Linked DNA regions of Drosophila melanogaster. The protein of the gene in region 2 interacts with the protein of the main gene of each other region in a pairwise test. Each region holds a gene or a part of one and is shown on either strand. Other genes may lie near its edges. The genes, in order: alphaTry, Ir60a, Acph-1 and CG2641.

What was found.
Region 1: the proteins of Ir60a (region 2) and alphaTry interact in a two-hybrid assay, tested with the Drosophila melanogaster proteins (one large-scale study listed by BioGRID).
Region 3: the proteins of Ir60a (region 2) and Acph-1 interact in a two-hybrid assay, tested with the Drosophila melanogaster proteins (one large-scale study listed by BioGRID).
Region 4: the proteins of Ir60a (region 2) and CG2641 interact in a two-hybrid assay, tested with the Drosophila melanogaster proteins (one large-scale study listed by BioGRID).

Annotation. Positions count from the first base shown.
Region 1 is NT_033778.4:11,343,595-11,347,052, forward strand, and holds alphaTry (alphaTrypsin), read right to left. Parts: upstream 1,526-3,458; 5' UTR 1,499-1,525; coding exon 728-1,498; 3' UTR 666-727; downstream 1-665. Other genes in the region: epsilonTry (epsilonTrypsin), read right to left, coding at 1,683-2,453; betaTry (betaTrypsin), read left to right, coding at 2,748-3,458.
Region 2 is NT_033778.4:24,248,500-24,253,392, forward strand, and holds Ir60a (ionotropic receptor 60a), read right to left. Parts: upstream 2,805-4,893; coding exon 1,890-2,804; intron 1,792-1,889; coding exon 556-1,791; downstream 1-555. Other genes in the region: nord, read left to right, coding at 4,147-4,232, 4,306-4,555, 4,622-4,893.
Region 3 is NT_033777.3:29,990,443-29,994,900, forward strand, and holds Acph-1 (acid phosphatase 1), read right to left. Parts: upstream 2,835-4,458; 5' UTR 2,754-2,834; coding exon 2,544-2,753; intron 2,486-2,543; coding exon 2,387-2,485; intron 2,331-2,386; coding exon 1,641-2,330; intron 1,571-1,640; coding exon 1,312-1,570; intron 1,252-1,311; coding exon 1,142-1,251; 3' UTR 702-1,141; downstream 1-701. Other genes in the region: CG7896 (uncharacterized protein), read left to right, coding at 1-96; CG7903 (uncharacterized protein), read right to left, coding at 3,320-3,371, 3,431-3,646, 3,706-4,297, 4,351-4,458.
Region 4 is NT_033777.3:7,792,153-7,797,110, reverse strand, and holds CG2641 (uncharacterized protein), read right to left. Parts: upstream 3,043-4,958; 5' UTR 2,903-3,042; coding exon 2,791-2,902; intron 2,242-2,790; coding exon 1,892-2,241; intron 1,519-1,891; coding exon 963-1,518; intron 864-962; coding exon 592-863; 3' UTR 512-591; downstream 1-511. Other genes in the region: CG10086 (uncharacterized protein), read right to left, coding at 3,988-4,232, 4,391-4,958.

The DNA.
Region 1 (3,458 bases), about 13 Mb from region 2:
TTATGGAATTGATAATGGAACTTTTTATAAACAGCATTATCGGTTAAAAAATATGGCAAATTGTTTATTCTTTGCAATTGTTGTTGCGTTTAATTCACAAATATAAGAAAAAGAACAGAAGACAATCCATTCCTACCATCTATTCACACCGTCCAGTATTTCACCAGTCACGGTTCACCAAAACGTTCAACTTCGAGTGTCCAAATCTGTGCAATCTTATCTATTCATTTTTTTCCGGCTAATTAATCTTGCCACAGCTGTCCAGACCATCACTCAACTTATCAATGGAAGATGAATTGGAACCCTAGCCACGCGATGCACTCGAAGTTGATTAGATTGGTCCTGGACAAATGTTTACCTTTAGCCACTCGAGCCCATTGAAATCGGTGAAAATCACAGAAGGTGCGTTGAATTATCTTACTTTATGTGAATACCCGTGAACCCTACAAAAGATAAGACCTGTGACGCGGGCAACCTCGAGAACTGTTTCCCTATTGTTAATACGAAAGGTGTAATAAGTGGTATGTGTAATACATTCAACTTCCACTACTTTATTCTTTAGGCTTAACCACTAACTTAAACTACATAGAAGTAAATACAAAAGCTTTCTGTATATTTTGTAAACCCTCTTATGTTAAAGTACCCAGACCAAATACAAATCATCTATGTTCTGAATGGCAAATATTTATTGAAGGCTTTTGACACATCCAACCTACTGGGTACCAGCTTAGATGCTGTTAGCAGTGCTCACCACCCAAGAGCGGAGGACAGCAACATCGGCATAGACACCGGGGTAGTTGGAGTAAGCGCATCCGTATCCCCAGGAGACAACACCGACGAGGACTCCGCCGGAGACCAGTGGGCCACCGGAGTCACCCTGGCAGGCATCCTTGCCGCTGGCAGCAGCGCAGATCATGGTGTTGCGGATCTGGCTACCGTATCCGTAGGTGGAGGAAGCACACTGGCTCTGGCTAACGATGTTCACGTTCACGTACTGCAGCTGGGAGGGGATGGAGCTGGATCCGGACGACTGGGTACCCCAACCGGAAACGGCGGCAGAGGCTCCGTTAGCTGGGTTGTAAGTGGCCAGGCTAATAGCCTTGATGCTTGAGCTGAAGCTCAGGGAAGAGCTCAGACGGATGACAGCGATGTCGTTGACCATGGTGTTAGCGTTGTATCCCTCGTGGTTCTTGAAAGAGGAAACCTTGGCGACGACGCCACCAGAGCTCCAGTAGGTGGATCCAGCACGGACCTGCAGGACTGAAGCGGACACGGACTGCAGACAGTGAGCGGCGGTCACAATGATGTTGGCAGAGTAGATGGATCCACCGCAGGAGTGGCTGCCACTGCGCTGCAGGGAGATCTGCCAGGGGAAGCTGCTGATGGTGGTAGCAGAGCCGCCGACAATGCGGCCATCCAACTGAGGCAGGAGTCCCTCAGGGACGGTGCCTCCCAGGGCGCAGACCACGGCGGACAAGAGGATCACGATCTTCAACATGATGGGCGTTGCTAACAAGTGCTGGCTTACATGCCGCCCGTCCAACCTTATATACAGCCCACGCTACAATTCTTATCTAGCCGCAATTTCGAGGGCTTTACACCTGCGACGCAATTGGGCCCAAATAGAGAAACAGATATCAATGCTGATTCAATTGCGATTTATTTCAAGTGTTTGTCTGGCTTTACACCTCCTCGGCGGTCCTCTCGATCCACTCGTGGAAGTGGGCAACGTCGGCGTAGACACCGGGATACCTCACATCACCGCATCCATAGCCCCAGGACACAACACCGACAAGGCGGTCTCCGGAGACAAGTGGGCCACCGGAGTCACCCTGGCAGGCATCCTTGTGTGGGGCGTAGGCGCAGAGCATGGTGTCCTTGATCTTCTTTCCGTATCCGAACTCATCCGAGCGGCAACGCGACACATCGATGATCTCCAGATCAACGGCCAGCAGATGATCGGGAATGGTGCTGCCACCGGACTCGGTGGTGCCCCAGCCGGAAACCACGGCGGTGGCGCCCTCACGAGGGTTGGAGTCGGCAATACGGATCTCGCGAATGCTGGAGCGGAAGCTCAGATCGGACTCGATGCGAATAATAGCAATGTCGTTGACCATGGTGCGGGAGTTGTAGCCCTCGTGGTTGCGGAAGGAGCGAACGGAGTGGACACTGCCGCCGGAGCGCCAGTAGGTGCTGCCCACACGAATCTTCAGGTCCTTGGCCTCAATCGACTGCAGGCAGTGAGCGGCGGTGATCACAATGTCGTGGGAGTAGATGGATCCACCGCAGAAGTGTGATCCATAGCGCTGCAAGGACACCTGGTAGGGATGGGCGTCGATGCTGGTCTCATAACCACCGACGATACGACCATCCAACTGGGGCAGCAGGCCATCGGGAATGGTGCCAGCCAAGGCGCAGGCCAAAACGGAAAGAAGTACCGCGAATTTCAACATTTTAATCGTTTGTATGCTGATTCGCGGATCAAAACCCCTTTTATACAGTCCCCGCGGCAAATATCTCCACTTGATTGACAGCTGCAACTTCAGCATAATTGTTGCGTCATTTTCACCATCGATATAGGCGGTGATATTTAGAAATAATCAGCTTATCACACGACGACCACTCCACATCGTTATCCACTTTAACCACGAGGAATCTCACTTGTCCATTGATTAAACGCCTCCCGAGATAGTGACCCCCGATATAAGCACACTTTTCGGTTCGAAGAGTATCCATTCAATCGCACCATGCTGAAGTTCCTGATCCTGTTGTCGGCTGTAGCCTGCGCCCTGGGAGGCACCATCCCCGAGGGTCTCCTGCCCCAGTTGGATGGCCGCATTGTCGGCGGTACTGCTACCACCATCAGCAGCTTCCCCTGGCAGATCTCCCTGCAGCGCAGTGGCAGCCACTCCTGCGGTGGATCCATCTACTCCGCCAGGGTGATCGTGACCGCCGCTCACTGCCTGCAGTCCGTGTCCGCCTCCTCCCTGCAGATCCGCGCCGGATCCAGCTACTGGAGCTCTGGTGGCGTCGTCGCCAAGGTTTCCTCTTTCAAGAACCACGAGGGTTACAACGCCAACACCATGGTCAACGACATCGCTGTGCTCCATCTGAGCTCCTCTCTGAGCTTCAGCTCCACCATCAAGGCCATCGGTCTGGCTAGCTCCAACCCCGCCAACGGTGCTGCTGCCTCCGTCTCCGGATGGGGTACCGAGTCCTCTGGCTCCAGCTCCATTCCCTCCCAGCTGCGTTATGTCAACGTGAACATCGTCAGCCAGAGCCGGTGCTCTTCTTCCTCCTATGGCTACGGAAACCAGATCAAGAGCTCCATGATCTGCGCTTTTGCCAGCGGCAAGGACTCGTGCCAGGGTGACTCCGGTGGCCCACTGGTCTCCGGCGGAGTCCTCGTCGGTGTTGTCTCCTGGGGATACGGATGTGCTGCCGCTAACTACCCCGGT
Region 2 (4,893 bases):
GCAGTAACTTCCTTTGCAATCAGCGAATGCGCCACTTATAGGGATATCTGCTTAACTCGTTCTTTATCTCTGTTTACGCCCAGAGTTTTCCGGCAGCAGAGCAGCTGGGAAAGCTGAGGCTGATTGTCAATTTGCGGAAAGCGGGGCGAGGAGCTCGTCCACTGCGCACTGCCCTGCCCGCCTCCACTTCCATTCCCGATCCCAATCCCAATGCCAATCCCAGAGGCACGGGCACAGACTCCCCGCCGTTGTTGTTTGCAAAAATAGAATTTTGTCTCTGATTTTAAGTATTTCGCGTGAAAAGTAACAGAAGCGACCCGAACGGCACGGGCCAGACCAACCACACTATACTATACTACACTATGCCATACTATATAGACTATAGACCAGACAAGCGCCCCAGACATCGCAGGAGGATGGAGGATGGGGGATGAAGGACGGGGGGACGGGCTTGGGGATTGCCAGTCAGAGTCAGAGTCAGTGTCTCTCAATTGCAAATTTATGTGAATTGAGTCAATTTTATCGCAGCCATCTAGGGAGTTAGTTTGGGTTAGTTTACTTTTGACTTGTTTGTCCCTGGAAAACTTTGCGTCGTTTGACTGGCGTAAATCGAACGACTGGAGCCACTTGAACTTGTCGCTGCCAGCGGTTATCCTTTTCTGGCTTCCTCCTCCTCCTCCTCCTCCTCCTCTTGTCACTCCTCCTGTCCTGCTGCTCGCTCGTGCTGACCAGCTGGGTTCGCCATCTGTGGATTATTAGCTCGCCAATGAACGTGAGGGCGGCCCAGCAGCTGCCCACCACCAGGATGAAGAAGGGTCCCTTCAGGTGCTCCGTGGTCAGGACGATAGCCGTTTCCGGGAACTGGGGGCGCATCTTGTTGATCCTGTTGAGGTACGTGTTGTTGTACCTAAAGTCCGCGTCGATCTTCTGAAAAATGCCCACGTCGCGCATGAGGCGGATGATGCTGTTCATCTCGAAGAGAAAGGGGAATCCCGCCTTCATGATCATCTGCACCGGACTGCTGAAAACGTTGTTGGGAAAGGCGTATATGACGTCCGCCAGGGGACTCTGCATCGTGTACATCCGGTTGCTCAGGATGCACCGCTGGCCCCACTTCACCGCCTCCAGGTTCTTCGATTGCGGAATGAACTCCGGCGAAATGTTGTATCCGTTAAAGATCCACATGTCGTCGTCATTCTCGAACCAGTCGCGACTCTCCTCGTGGCCGCCAAACGGAATACCCGCGGCCACCACTTCCGTCAGCTCGTCCAGCTGGTGAAGGTAGCCGGGATCCTGGAAGGTGGCTATCATCTTGGACGTGTATGTAGCCACCACGTTCAGGCCATACAAAGTCAGGGCCATGAAGAACAGCCTCGTCGTCTCGCAAATGGGTCGTTCCTGGACGGCTATCGATATGGTGACGGCCAGGGCATTAATGGCCGTAAGACTCAACTGTTGGTAATACTTCGGCTCCGGAAGAATCATAACCAGGGTGAACCAGAACAGCCAGCTGATTATTAGAATCAGGATGAATCCAATCCAGGTGTAGGCTTCGAAAATACCCACCAACGCCTGCCAGGCGGGTCTTCTGTCGGCCATTTTTATGTACCACGTGTGCGCATCCTGCAGATAGGTATCGGATCCCCAAAAATGGTCCGCCACCTCGTTGTCCGGATAATAGCCGCCGAAGACAAAGTCGCACTCGTTGTTCTGGACTTTCCCCAGTAATCCAGTCCAGTTAGCTGGGCCATCCATTTCACCACGTGACTCCAGGCTGCAGGTTTGGTTTACCTTACCAGTGGAAAATAGGATAGTTGTTAGCTTAGCACAATAAGCAGGACTTTTGCAAGCCAAGACGATCTTGAAGTATGAAAGTGTTAAATACTCACATCGAATTTCAGTCGATTTTTCATGAACCCCAGGATCCTCATCTCTAGTCCCAGGATACAGTCGGCCTCCACAAAGGGAGCAGAGATGGAGGAACAGGCAAAAAAGGTGCAGTTCCTGGGACTGAATCCTGATACGTAGTCCTGCATGGAGGCCTTAACGACAGCATTATTGGGGTAAAGTTTGCCATCGTGGCACTGGCCCACGCTCTGGACATTCAGAATCCTGCAGTTTACATTGCTGTAGTAATCATTGACCAGCAGATTGTAGTTCATGGTGGAGTTGGCATAGAGAAGAGCAACTCGGTGCACGTAAAACATTTCCATGAGGTCCTTGAAAATATTGGAGGCTACGCCAAGCGGTCGATTCCGACAAGTCGCATTATGAAAGAGCACCAGAAAACGCGCTCCTGGATTCCAGGATCGCATTTCGACAATTTTTTTCTTCATTAGCTCTTTTAATCGATCCACCGAGTCCACCACTATCACATAATTGTCCGCTAGGATCAGCTCTCCCTTGTCTTCGGTCCCATTCGTGATGTTGTAATCACTGGCCACGCGCATTTGGAAGAGTTCCTCCCTGTCCGGCGGCCCTGGATTCGTGACTGCTTCGTTGATCAGTTTGCTGAATCCTTCCTGGATCTGATCCGCCGGACTGGACAGATGAAAGGCGTGCACCAGCATCAAGTTATAGGCTCTGGTGAAGCGCTCCTTCGGGTTGCGAAAGAAGAAGATTTGGGCGAAGCTATCGAGGCAGCCCACTCCAGCCTTCCACACATCGGGACCCAAGTCCTTTTCGGGCAGCATGAAGATGACCGTGTTGGCCGTCTCATTCGAAAGATTCACTATCCCCTGGCACAGGTTTAAAATCTGCCCCAGAAAGATGATGATGATGAGACCCGGATTATTACACCACATTATTGCTTCTGTCACGTCGGACAATTGCGAATTAACTGCGGCTGGTGTGAGTTTCCGTGGGAAGGTGATGTGACTGATGTCCTACATTTGATTGCTTGGGTATATCGGTTTGGGGTCTGGAACAGTATTAACACTACACAGTGCCTCTGACTGATCCATCGCAAATCGCTGTAATATGATAATCCGTCCATTAAACAACCACTGCTGGCTTGTAAAAGTGCATTAAGTCATTCTGGAGTTTCGCGTCCGGAAGCGCATTCAACTTTCGCCTTTGGCCGTTGTTTGCCTTGTATAATTGACTGCTGTCAGCGTGCCGACAACGAGGATGCCCCCAGCAACAATAATAACAACAGCAGAAAACAACAAACAATCGCCATTGCAACATGCAAGGCTTAAATTAAAGCAAATATTTGCTCAGTCGCAGCGGCGCCACCGCCAACAATGGTCGAAATGCATTAAAACACTCCATCAATCCGAACCTTTTGGCAGGGCGGCCAAAAATACGACGGACTGCATGGTATAATGGCTATATGGCTATGTGGCGCACCAACTTCTGTTCGCTCGTCCGGATTGCGGGGGATGATGACGAGGAGGATGGCCCATGGCGTTGGCCGGAAGTAGCCGGTCATAAAAATAAAACTCGAGATGGCCGACCATCTCGCCAAGTCAATGAGTCATTTGCTGCAATGGAATGGCCATCCTGTCCTGCCCCTTTGGAAACTGCATCCTTGCCAGCTCGAAGCTCCCTGTTTCCCTGTGTCCATGTGGGTGTATCGGCGAGCTCATTTGTCTTAGCAGTTTGTCATTAGAAAAATTGCTCGTAAATTTCGCATTTAATTACAATACAAGAGCCAGCAAATTCAGCAAAGGGCCAGTGCCCAGGGGACTTGAGCGCAATCTTTGGCTGCAACAAAGTTGCAGCGGCATCAGCGAAGATGGATAAACAAAGTTGGCGAAAGGACAAGGATAGCCGAAGAGGGTATACCCTTTCGGATGCCCCGTAATTAAGCCAACTTGTATACCAAAGGTGATTTAAAAGTATGCAGTGAGAGATACAAAATGAGATTCTTTTTGACACCATTGTTATTTCATTAGTTAGTTAGTTAGTTATTGTTAAGTTAAGTTATAAGTTATAAGTTACGACTTATCTAACCAAGCTGATCCTTTAGTCAGGGAGGGTATGGCCAAAAGCCGCTGACTCATTTGGTTCAGTTCGGCTCAGACAGGCGGCAAAACAAATTGCGTGTGATAATTTAGTGTCATCATTTTTGACAAAGGGCGTTAACAGCTCACTTACTCCGCCCCTCGAAGAGCCGCCTTCATCTCGTTCTCCGTCTTCCAGATTTGTGCTGAACCTGAACGACTCGACGCCGCTGACGATTCGCTTTTCGGCGCCCGTGGGCCGCAAGATGTACTACAATCAGACAGGTAAGTCCGCCCCTTTGAGGAGCCGCATACCGCCACCAACCGCCACTAACCCGCCACCCAACCGCCTCTGCAGGAAACCCCCTTCGGCCGGCGGCAGTGGCACCTGGGCCAGGTGTGGCTGTGGGCAGTCTGGTGCTGCCCTGCGCCCTGCGTGGCCAGTACGACCTCTTCGTCCTCGCCCGCCACTCGGGAGCCCTCAAGGTGGACGCCCTGGCAGAGCATCCCCAGCACGACTGGCCCCTCCTCAACGCCACGCACCGAATCGCCATTCGCACCCAGAATCGCGTGCGGAAGCGCGAGATGATCGTCAAGTGGGAAAGGAGGTGAGATCTAGATGATTTTATTACACGGATATACTTATAACTTATGATTATTCAAAATCGTTTCAGCAAGTTTGATTTCCATGTCATGCACTATTGCCTGGTGATTCAGAGACTCTCCATGGACACGCCGCGGATGATCTTCACCAACTTCTGCCAGGCGGTGTCCGCCTACACGGACCAGCAGCCCATGACTCCCAGTTGCGCCGCAGGCGGTCCCTTGGAAGGGATTTGGGGTGCTCCACCCCAGCGGGAAAGGAGACTTAATCCTAGGCAGAACGTTCACATCGTGTGCACGGGGAAGAGGCGCCAACAGCTGCTGCGACGCCTTCTTCCGAGGA
Region 3 (4,458 bases), on a different chromosome or scaffold from region 2:
GGCGGAAACGGCGATGGAGCCGAGAGCCTGACGCACCAGCATCCGCACCAGCACCAGCCCTACATCATATACTCGGATGACAAGGCCTACAGATAAGCCGGCCAGCCAGCCGGCCGATCGAGGGGCTCTTCATCTTTCCCACTCCTCCATTCTGTCCATTTCAATCTTAGTCAGTCAGTCAGGCGCATCGCCGCAAACAGGTTCTACATTATATCGCCGCTCTCAGCCACGTTGTATATAGCCTTAAAGCATTCTAACCGTAACCCTAACTGTATCTATGTCTAACCATAATTAAGTGCAACCAAGTCGCTTATGCGGAATAAACAAATCTAGTATAATTCATATTTCAAGTGTTTTTGACGGCGGGCGGGAAAACTCCAACTTATTTACTCAGCCGTCTTTTAGGTATGCCTGCCACAAGCTATAGACTACCAACTAACCCACAAAGTGTACCTTGTAAACAACAATTGTTTAAGCTCTTTAACTTCCTAGCCCAAAAACATTCGTTCTATGTTGTTGTTTCTTCCGGGATCTTTATCAAACGTACACAGAAAAGCAATTCATTACTTTATCTTGATTTAAATTGACTAAACCATAAAGTTTTGCCGATTTTGTTAAGAGTTTCTCCAAAAATATCTTTGGACAACAAGCCCTTTATCTTTACTAGGCACCAGAAAAATTCAAACATCATACAAGTCTTTGATTTGAGCGATTTTAATACAATAAATTTATCATTCATGATAATTTCATAAAAATGTATATGTGTATAAATATGTTATGTATAATATGTATGCAACTTCAAGATCGCTATTCACAGTCTTTGTATTCCATATCTTTCACTGAATAACAACAAAACCAGTTATTACTCCATTTAAATGCTATCGAGCTTGTGTTTTTCAATTTCAAATGCACAAACTTAAACTAACAAAACTAATCAATACAAACTGACTTTGTGTGAAATGCACGGCTTAACTAAGTAGTAACCACGAATAACAACAACTGTCGCCTGAGACTCCAATGACTTCCAAAATCAATATAGAAAACACCAAGAAAGGCAAATCACTTTGGCAACTAGAGAGCGGGCAAGGCTCTTAATTCAGATTTAAGTAGGGCCTTCAACTGCATGGCATGGGTAAGCCTCCTAAGCCATTTGAGAGTACGAGGAATACAGCTTGTAGTTGCGACGTCGGTAGTAGATCATGAGGCCATAGCTGGCGAACAGCAGCGCAATTACGATTAAAATGAGAATGCCTGGGGATGGATGAAACTCGATGATTTAATTCCATTGAAAACCAATTGCCGTTGACTTACCCGTCGCAGTTCCAAGATTGGCTTCCTCATAAGTCATCATCATCGTGGATAGCTTGCACTCGCGCTCCCAATCTACGGGCAAAACGTCCTCGTAGATGTTCATAAGTTTGGTCAGCGGACAGGAAGGCCCACAACCAGGTATGTCCAGAGGCAGGGGTTCAGCTGTGGTGTTCTTGTAGAAAATAGAGACCAACGGGGTGTTGGTCTCATCCACACGCAACTCCATCATTATGCACGCCGTGTAGGGAGGACTGTGCAGCTGGGGATAAAAAAAAAAAAGAACAAAGCCTCAATCCGCTGCTCATATGAAAACTTTGTCAAACTCCTACCTCAAATAATTTCAGCGCATTCAAAACGCTGGCTACCGTGGTGTCATGAGCACTGTAGACCCACATCGAACGATCTGGTTTTAGGCTCCCGGAGGATTTCTCTTTAAACCGCTGGAATATGTCCTTTAGCAAAGGCCCCGCCTTCAGTCTCGCCAGCTTTCGCGTATAAGAGCTGATGGCGAAAGCGAAATTCGATACATACGTGAGCTCCTCTCTCCCATAAACCATTTTAGTCCATTTTGGCAGTGTCATGTTGTACAGATTCTCAATGAACAAGGTGTTATTCAAATACTGGGCATCAATGAAGGTCTTCACGGGGCGTCCGCCTTTTTCGCTCAAATAAGCAAACAGATTTCGGTGTTTTTCGGTCAAGGCCTTGAATTCTGGCGATGATTCCAGGCTGGCCAGCTCATAGTCATAGGCAGGACAAGGTGCCTTAGCGGCCAGTATGGGATCCTCCCTCTCGGGCGAGGTGTGAATGGGTATGGGTTGCCAGTTGATGTCCGTGTTCCAGATGTCTTCCCCTTGCGGCTCGTAGAGACCAGCCAGATTCGACTGGGCACTCATCAATGTGCGATCCACGTCGGTGGACTGAACGTAGATGTTCTCGTTGGAGTATATAGGCGGTAGGAGGTTTGAATAGCGATTCCGCAGCCATTTTCCCAGGTCGTAGTGCTCTTGCTTGCCCAACTAAAGGTCGAAATCCGTGTTAGCCTGGGTCCGTCACTAGTGCGAGCCTTACTTACATTGGTCAAATCTCCCCAGCCGGTGGGCCAGAACTTCCTGTCGCCCCAGGGGTCCGTGGGATAGGGATCCACGGGCGTTCTGTCGCCGTGGCGATATATCTGCAAAGCATAACCGATAAAGCGGGAGCTACGCACACATAGACATAGCAACTCTTACGACATGCACAAACTTCAGCTGGCCTGGCAATGTGGCCGAAATCTCCACTGGATGACCTTCAGCATTAGCATAGCCATGAAGCGAATTGGCCAGCGCAAAAGACAGCAAACATATAACGCAGATCAAGATGAGCCAGCGCTGGCTTGGGTGGTTCCACATTTTGCGAGCCACACTTGTTACAAGTGAACCACAGCGACTGCGGGAAAACATATGTGAGCATGCGAATACAGGTTACGGCGTTTGGTCTACGGCTATAACGGGTATTAGTTCCCTTACCTCGACCGTATAACTGGCGATCTGTTCGTTCGTCGTTCGCATATATACAGCAGGCAGTCTGAAGTTTACCAAATTTCTGATTTCTTTGTTTATAATTTTGGGGACCTGTTTGATAACCACACAAAGCTTCGAAGTCTCGATAACGATAGTTGTCCCCAACCAACCCTAGACCCTAACAGTAATCTTTTGGCGGGATGATTTAAAAACGCAAATGGTGTTTATGATTGTATTGATTGATTGACTCGTCGTATCTAGTTGCACACAAGAAATATGATTATTTAAGTATTGCATAAATATCGAAACAATCTTAGACTACGAATAACAAATATACTGTTGATGTTGGTCTTAAAAGTACACGGCTATAGGACAAATTAAAAGTCGTCGTCGTTGGCTTAACTAAAAGATTCTGCGCGCGGAACAATGAAAAACAAAATTCGGCTATTACATTATTAAGTGGAGTACACGTGGACTGGCAAACATCGTTGCTGCATTGCACTTGCTTAAAATCTTCTATTGCCGCCCATATTTGGCCCGGGTCTGGGCCCGTTGAAGCTGGAAATGGCGATGATTGGGGTTAGTGGTTTTTATGCAGACGATATGAATGAACCTACCGGTTTCTTTGGCCTGGACCTCCGCCGCCACTGCCCAAGGGCGGGAACTCCGAGTGATATGCATTTATGCCATTCTGATTGTGATTTCTACCTCCTGAACCTCCGCGTTTGCTTGGGCCTCCTTGGGGACTGCTTGTCTCGTGACTGCTATCGCGTCTGTCATTGAATCCGCCTCCTCCTCCATTGAAAAATCCACGTCCTCCCGGTGGATTTCCTCTATATGGCAAAACAAGATATTATATATAATTTAGAACCCAATCTTATGCACAACTTACCCATTAGTCCCACGATTGCCAGAGTTCATTGGTCCATTGCCAAAGCGTCCGAAGCCCATTTGCTGCTGCTGATGCTCTACAGGCAGGGCAAATCCACGTCGATCCTGTCGCACATGGCTTGGACCTGGGCCGCCGCCGCCGGCCCTCTGATTTACGGATCCTCCTCCCCCGCTGCTGGAGCTGCCTCCCTGAAAGTCACTATTATTGCCTCCTCCCCTATATCCGCTGGTTGGACTGTTCTTAAAGTTTCTTCTGCCAGGCTGTGGTCCACTGTTGTCCCGCTGCTGAAACCGATTGCTGCCGAAGCGTCCCTCGTTGCCCGCGCTTCCACCGAACTTGCCTCCGCCTGCAAATTTGTTCCTAAAGCCCTGTCCCTGATTGGAAGACTCATTGTTCGGTGGTCCTTTCGAGTATGGAGCACTGCGCTGTTGTCTGTAGTTGGACTCGTTTCTCACGGGACCAAATTTGGCGGCCGAGGAGTTCGAGCTCCTTGGGCCTTCGTTGGAGAATCTGCCACCGACTTCCTCACGAAAGTTGCGCTTGAAGTTGGTATTGGATTCATGAGGTCTCTTGTCCGCCCCGCCACCTTGAACTGAGGATGATGAAATACTTAGATGCTGGATCTTTGGAGTGATCAAAGCTTACCCTGCGAGGGCCTGCGCCCCGGATTGTCCCCAGAGCCCGGCTGACCTCGACTGCCACCTCCCGGGCCGTACTTTGGCCTGCCCGCCTCCACCACAATGGGCTGGCCCT
Region 4 (4,958 bases), on a different chromosome or scaffold from region 2:
AAATTACACAAATATATATTATTCCATTATCACAAGTGGTAACTGATACTTTTACTGGTGGCAATTTTAAATCAAGGGAATGATTTATTTTAAGAATCAATATCATATACCTAGAACGATCTTTTAACGCATTCACTTTCAAGTACCAATTTTGAAATTTTGTTTATATTTAATAAAAGAAATATTGATGTGTGGGTATTGATAAGTAAGTGATAAGTATTGATAAGTGTGTTCTATGTGGAATCGAGAATATTAGCGATGTGATTCGATATTGTTGACTTAATTAGAAAGGATTTGCATAGAATCTGATTTATTGCCCATTGCCCAACAAATATATTGTAGTTGAACCTACAGATAGAGTTGGATAATTCGTCACATAAGTGCGAGTGTTACGCTAAGAATTTCGAATTTAAAATATATTTTCAAGGAAATTTTGTTCATTGATGACTTTCTAAACTAGAAAATTTGGTTGGATAACTTATATATATTCCTAAGATTTAGTTTCACGATAAACGGTTAAACTATGTTTATTGGTAACATCCAAAGCTAAATCAAAGTAAAATCATTTTATGAGATTATGTCTTCTTTTTTTTATGAGTTAGTGTTCCAACCGTACGATTGTGTTGGACGGTCAGTATTGTTTTGACCGACCAATGGGGCAGTGGGATCATGAGGTAGTGACAGAACGGGTACTGGTTGATTGGTAGCGAACTCTTCAGGGGGTTGAGGTGGAGCCGATGGCATGGCAAAGTTGGTGTACATGGGGTAACGCGGAATAAAGTCATCCGTGCGATTGTGCTCATCCTGATCGATGTCGATGAACCTTTCACCAAAGTTTGTGGCCTCCTCGAAGGTTGGTGGCTCTAAAAACATGAATAGTATAAGAATTATACAATGATCAAGCACCTTTAAGCATTTACAAATTCAAATGAAGAGTATCTATGATTTCGCTATATACTTACTGCACTTGTCATAACTGGGAGGCAGATCTGCGGCGGCTCCGGCAGGAGTGTCCGGCGTTTCCGGTATCCACTGTGCTGCACTGGCTGGATTCTCGGCACTTTGGATCAATGGTATGGTGCCAATTACAATCGGCACCTCAAAGTCCGAGTCCACGTGGCAGTCGCCAGTGCTGATCGTGAGGATAACTTGGTAACTAACCGAAATGATGCCTTCGGTGCGGGAAGAGGGCGGTACTGCTGGAATAGCCAGGGTTCCTTCAATTTTTTTCTTTGAGAGCCTCAAAACGCGCTCCTGCTGGCAACTTTTGTTGAGGCTGTGCTCCTTTTCGCGAGTTTTGTGGTGCGGCGTTTGAGCCTGGAATTTGTAAATCTGCTTAAGTTTCAGTTCGATCCCATTCAGATCATAGCCACTCGACTGGTTGTCAATCTCCAGAGTAAAGCGTATCTTCTGACCAGGCGCGTAACCACCGAAGGGTATTGTTAATGTCGATAGAACCGGGCCTGAACTGCAGGGCCAACAGCAAAAGTGCTTGATGTCCTCTCGGACTAGGGGCATCTGTCGAAAAAGAGTGTGCATTTATTAGTTCCTAGGAATAACTAATATTACCTAATTACTCTTATTGATATAATTTTAAAGTTTAATTAACATTTTTTTGTTTACATTTCTACAGGTTAGGATCGTAAAAAATTTATTTTTAATTTATTTAAATTTTTTATTTAGTCCCATAGCTTTGGTTTGAATGAACACACCCCTTGTTTGTTTAATAACTTCGGAATTTACGTCCATAAGGCACGCAATGTTTCTATACTTGAATGACTCGTCTAATTGTCCTTAAATATCTGTCGCAGGACAATTTAAAACTGCATTGATTTACTACCGATTAGTGCAATCTAAACTTTTAGTAAACTGTTCCTGTCCTTGGACTCACCAGCAATTGGGGGCTCATGTTGAGGTTGTAGGTCTGTATGACCGTCAGTGGCTGCTTGAAGACGTTGTTGAAGCGCCACTGGCGATCGATGACCACGGAGACCTCGTAGAAGATTTTTCCGTACTGGGCCACCACTGATGAGGGGCATTCCAGGGGCAGTGGAATGCAGAAGTTGTAGGTGTGCGTACCTGGCGGCAGATTCCCGGATCCAAAGACCGATGTCCGGGTGTACAAGTACTGCTGCTTGCCTCGGAAATACTCCGTGTAGTGCTCGGTCTTTCCACCTCTCGTCCTTGTTCGCCGCTCATCCCATCGCACCTTTGCCTCGCCCTCGAAAAGAATGTATACCTCTAATCAGAAAGTGAAAAGAGAGAGAGTGATATTTGAATATGGTTTGTATCCGAAAACGAATCTTTATATGTTGAACGTATGTGAAAGCCTTCTTCGGACTCCGAAGGAGTTGCTGTAAGTGCAGAATGAGATTACGCCAATCAAAAATGGAACTGAACATGGAAATTGATACAGAGCACTGTATCAAATACTTGTTTGCTTGTATACATACTTTTGTTATCTTTTGTAAAGCTTTCAAGTTTGTTTTTAGAATTGGCTATTTGAAAAACGCAAAAATTGATCAATGAATTTGTAGTTAGGGGCGAACTGAGCTCATCAGGGCATGCAATTTAGGATACTAGGAATTAAACATTTGAGACAATTAAAGCCACATAAATGGTCGCTAAAATCCTTCTTATATAAGAAGCAAAACACTTTATGGCGCTACAACAAACTTGTTTGTTTGCTGCATTCTATAAAACCGGCTTGGTGTTATCACAGAGTCAACAGTGATTACGCTCAAATTAAAAACATATCAGTCCATTCGCTTTTTAACGACTAAAACTCACCGTTCACAGACTTTTCGGATGTTGTTGTCAGAATGGCCCTTCCATTGACCGTCTCACCACTGTAGTAAATGGGTTCGCGGCGATCGAGCTCAAAAGAGCAGCTGGAAGGCATTTTGGAAATGCAATCTATTATTTAGTATGTGGGTGCTGGCACATATATTTCGAAATTCCAGATCTTATTCACTGGCGACGCGCAACGTGAATTTATTTAGCACCAGACAAGCGTCGCACCCGAAGTGAGAATTTAGAATGAGAATAGCCGGTCTGCAACAGCTGGGATGTCAGTGACATCATCACTTGGCGAGAGCCAAAGCTTTTCTGGTGAGCGAGCTTTTGGGGCTTCCGCTCACTAAAAAAAAAAAACAAAATTGAGAGGCATCGGATTTTGATAAACGGTTCTCTTTTTTGTTTGTTTTGTTACGAAGAATAAGGCAACAACAAATCTAAAAATTTGTAAACAAAAATCAGGTGGGTTCTGTGAAAGCTCTAGTTTAGTTGAGTTGTTATTATCGCGTTGTTATTATTTTTTGGACGAAATACGGTGAAAAAGAATCACATCAAGTTAAGTCGTCTATGGACTTAAGTCTGTGATAGTTGATTACGTTTGTTAATGATGATTTGTACTCATTTACAAACGCGCAAAAGTCCAAGAAGTTCCTGATTTTCTATCGTGGTGCGTAGCAACCAAAGGGTATCTTGACAGTCGAGAGAATGTTTGATCAGTATTAAGGCGATAAATGCATGTCCGTTTCTATGCTATATATTCTATATAATTCGGAATGGGCCGGATCAGATACCTGTTACTCAGATAGAGAGGAAGTTATACATTTTTTTTTTGCATTTTAATGGAAATTGTCAAGCAATAGAATTAGAAATTGGGAGCATGTATGCGTAAATCAAAATTTCTAGCTCTCATAAGTATTTAAACTCACGGACTGAGCTAGAAGTCCTCCACTCAATTTAATTTATAAATGAATAAATAAATTTGTAGTTCAATGCCTTCATGGACTTGGTTGTCTAGGCTATAGTCGCAATTTATCGCGTATCACCCAGTAGACACTTTTATATTCTGGGTTGTTTATCATTCCGATATACATACATATATAGTAAACATTTTGGTAAGTACACTGGCGAACCGTAAAAGAAATAAATACTGCCGAGATAAGATATAGTCGTGATTTTTCGCGATAACTGCCCTCAGATCTGCACGGGTGACTCCACTGGTTGTTTCTCCGGTTGTTGCTTCGACTGTCCAGGATCGGCAGGACGTCTGCGTCGGCGGCGCCTTTTCTTCTGGGGAGGATTTGGCGGCGGGCTCTGGAAGGTGTCCACATCGAAGACCGGATAGCGTGGAGTAAATCGGGAGGCCTCGCTGACCGTGTTCGCGTCCGTGTCCGCAATATCAGTGGTCATGAACATGGCCTGCTCGTAGGTAGGAGGAGCTATAGAAAAAATGACATAAAAAATATGGAGAATGAAGAATGAAACTATCGCCTCACAATAGCATAACAAAAATATAAAGAACATATACATAAGGGCTCTATTTAACATCTTTCATAACAAAGTCCTAGCTAGAAATATTTTGTTCTCTTGTACTCACGTAAATCTGGTACGAAATCGTCGGCGGCCTCCAACTCATCATCTCCATCCTCTGGAAGCTCGAAGTCCTCTAGATCCTCGGCCATCTCGTAGCCGGAGTTGCTGACCCCGCTTGCGGCCATCTGAGCCAGTTCCATGGCCCTTGTAGAGGTGCATGGCAAGTCGGCAGGCAGCGAACTTCCAGATGGGAAGGCGTTAGTTGGCAGGAAGTCCGGTCCGGACACCGCAGTTGCCAGGGGCACGTTGCCAATAGTCACAGGGATTATGAGCCGGGGATTAGCCATAAGCCAGTTCATAACAGCCACCACACGCACTTCGTAAGATACGCGCACCACCTTGCTTAGGTGCTCGCAGGTGGGCGCCGTTGCCGGAATCCTCAGGGTTTCCGTGTAAGTCCTCTGCGCATTATGAGCCACCGGACCGCACTCGCGCTTCACCAGCATTATCTTCTCGGATGTGGTGCGTAGCGAGGGCGTATCCGCCGTGTATGTGGCTCTCAAATGCAGCATGATCAGTAGCTTCCGACAATCGGAGCTGGAGTCATTACGCACATGGGCGTGGATCAACAT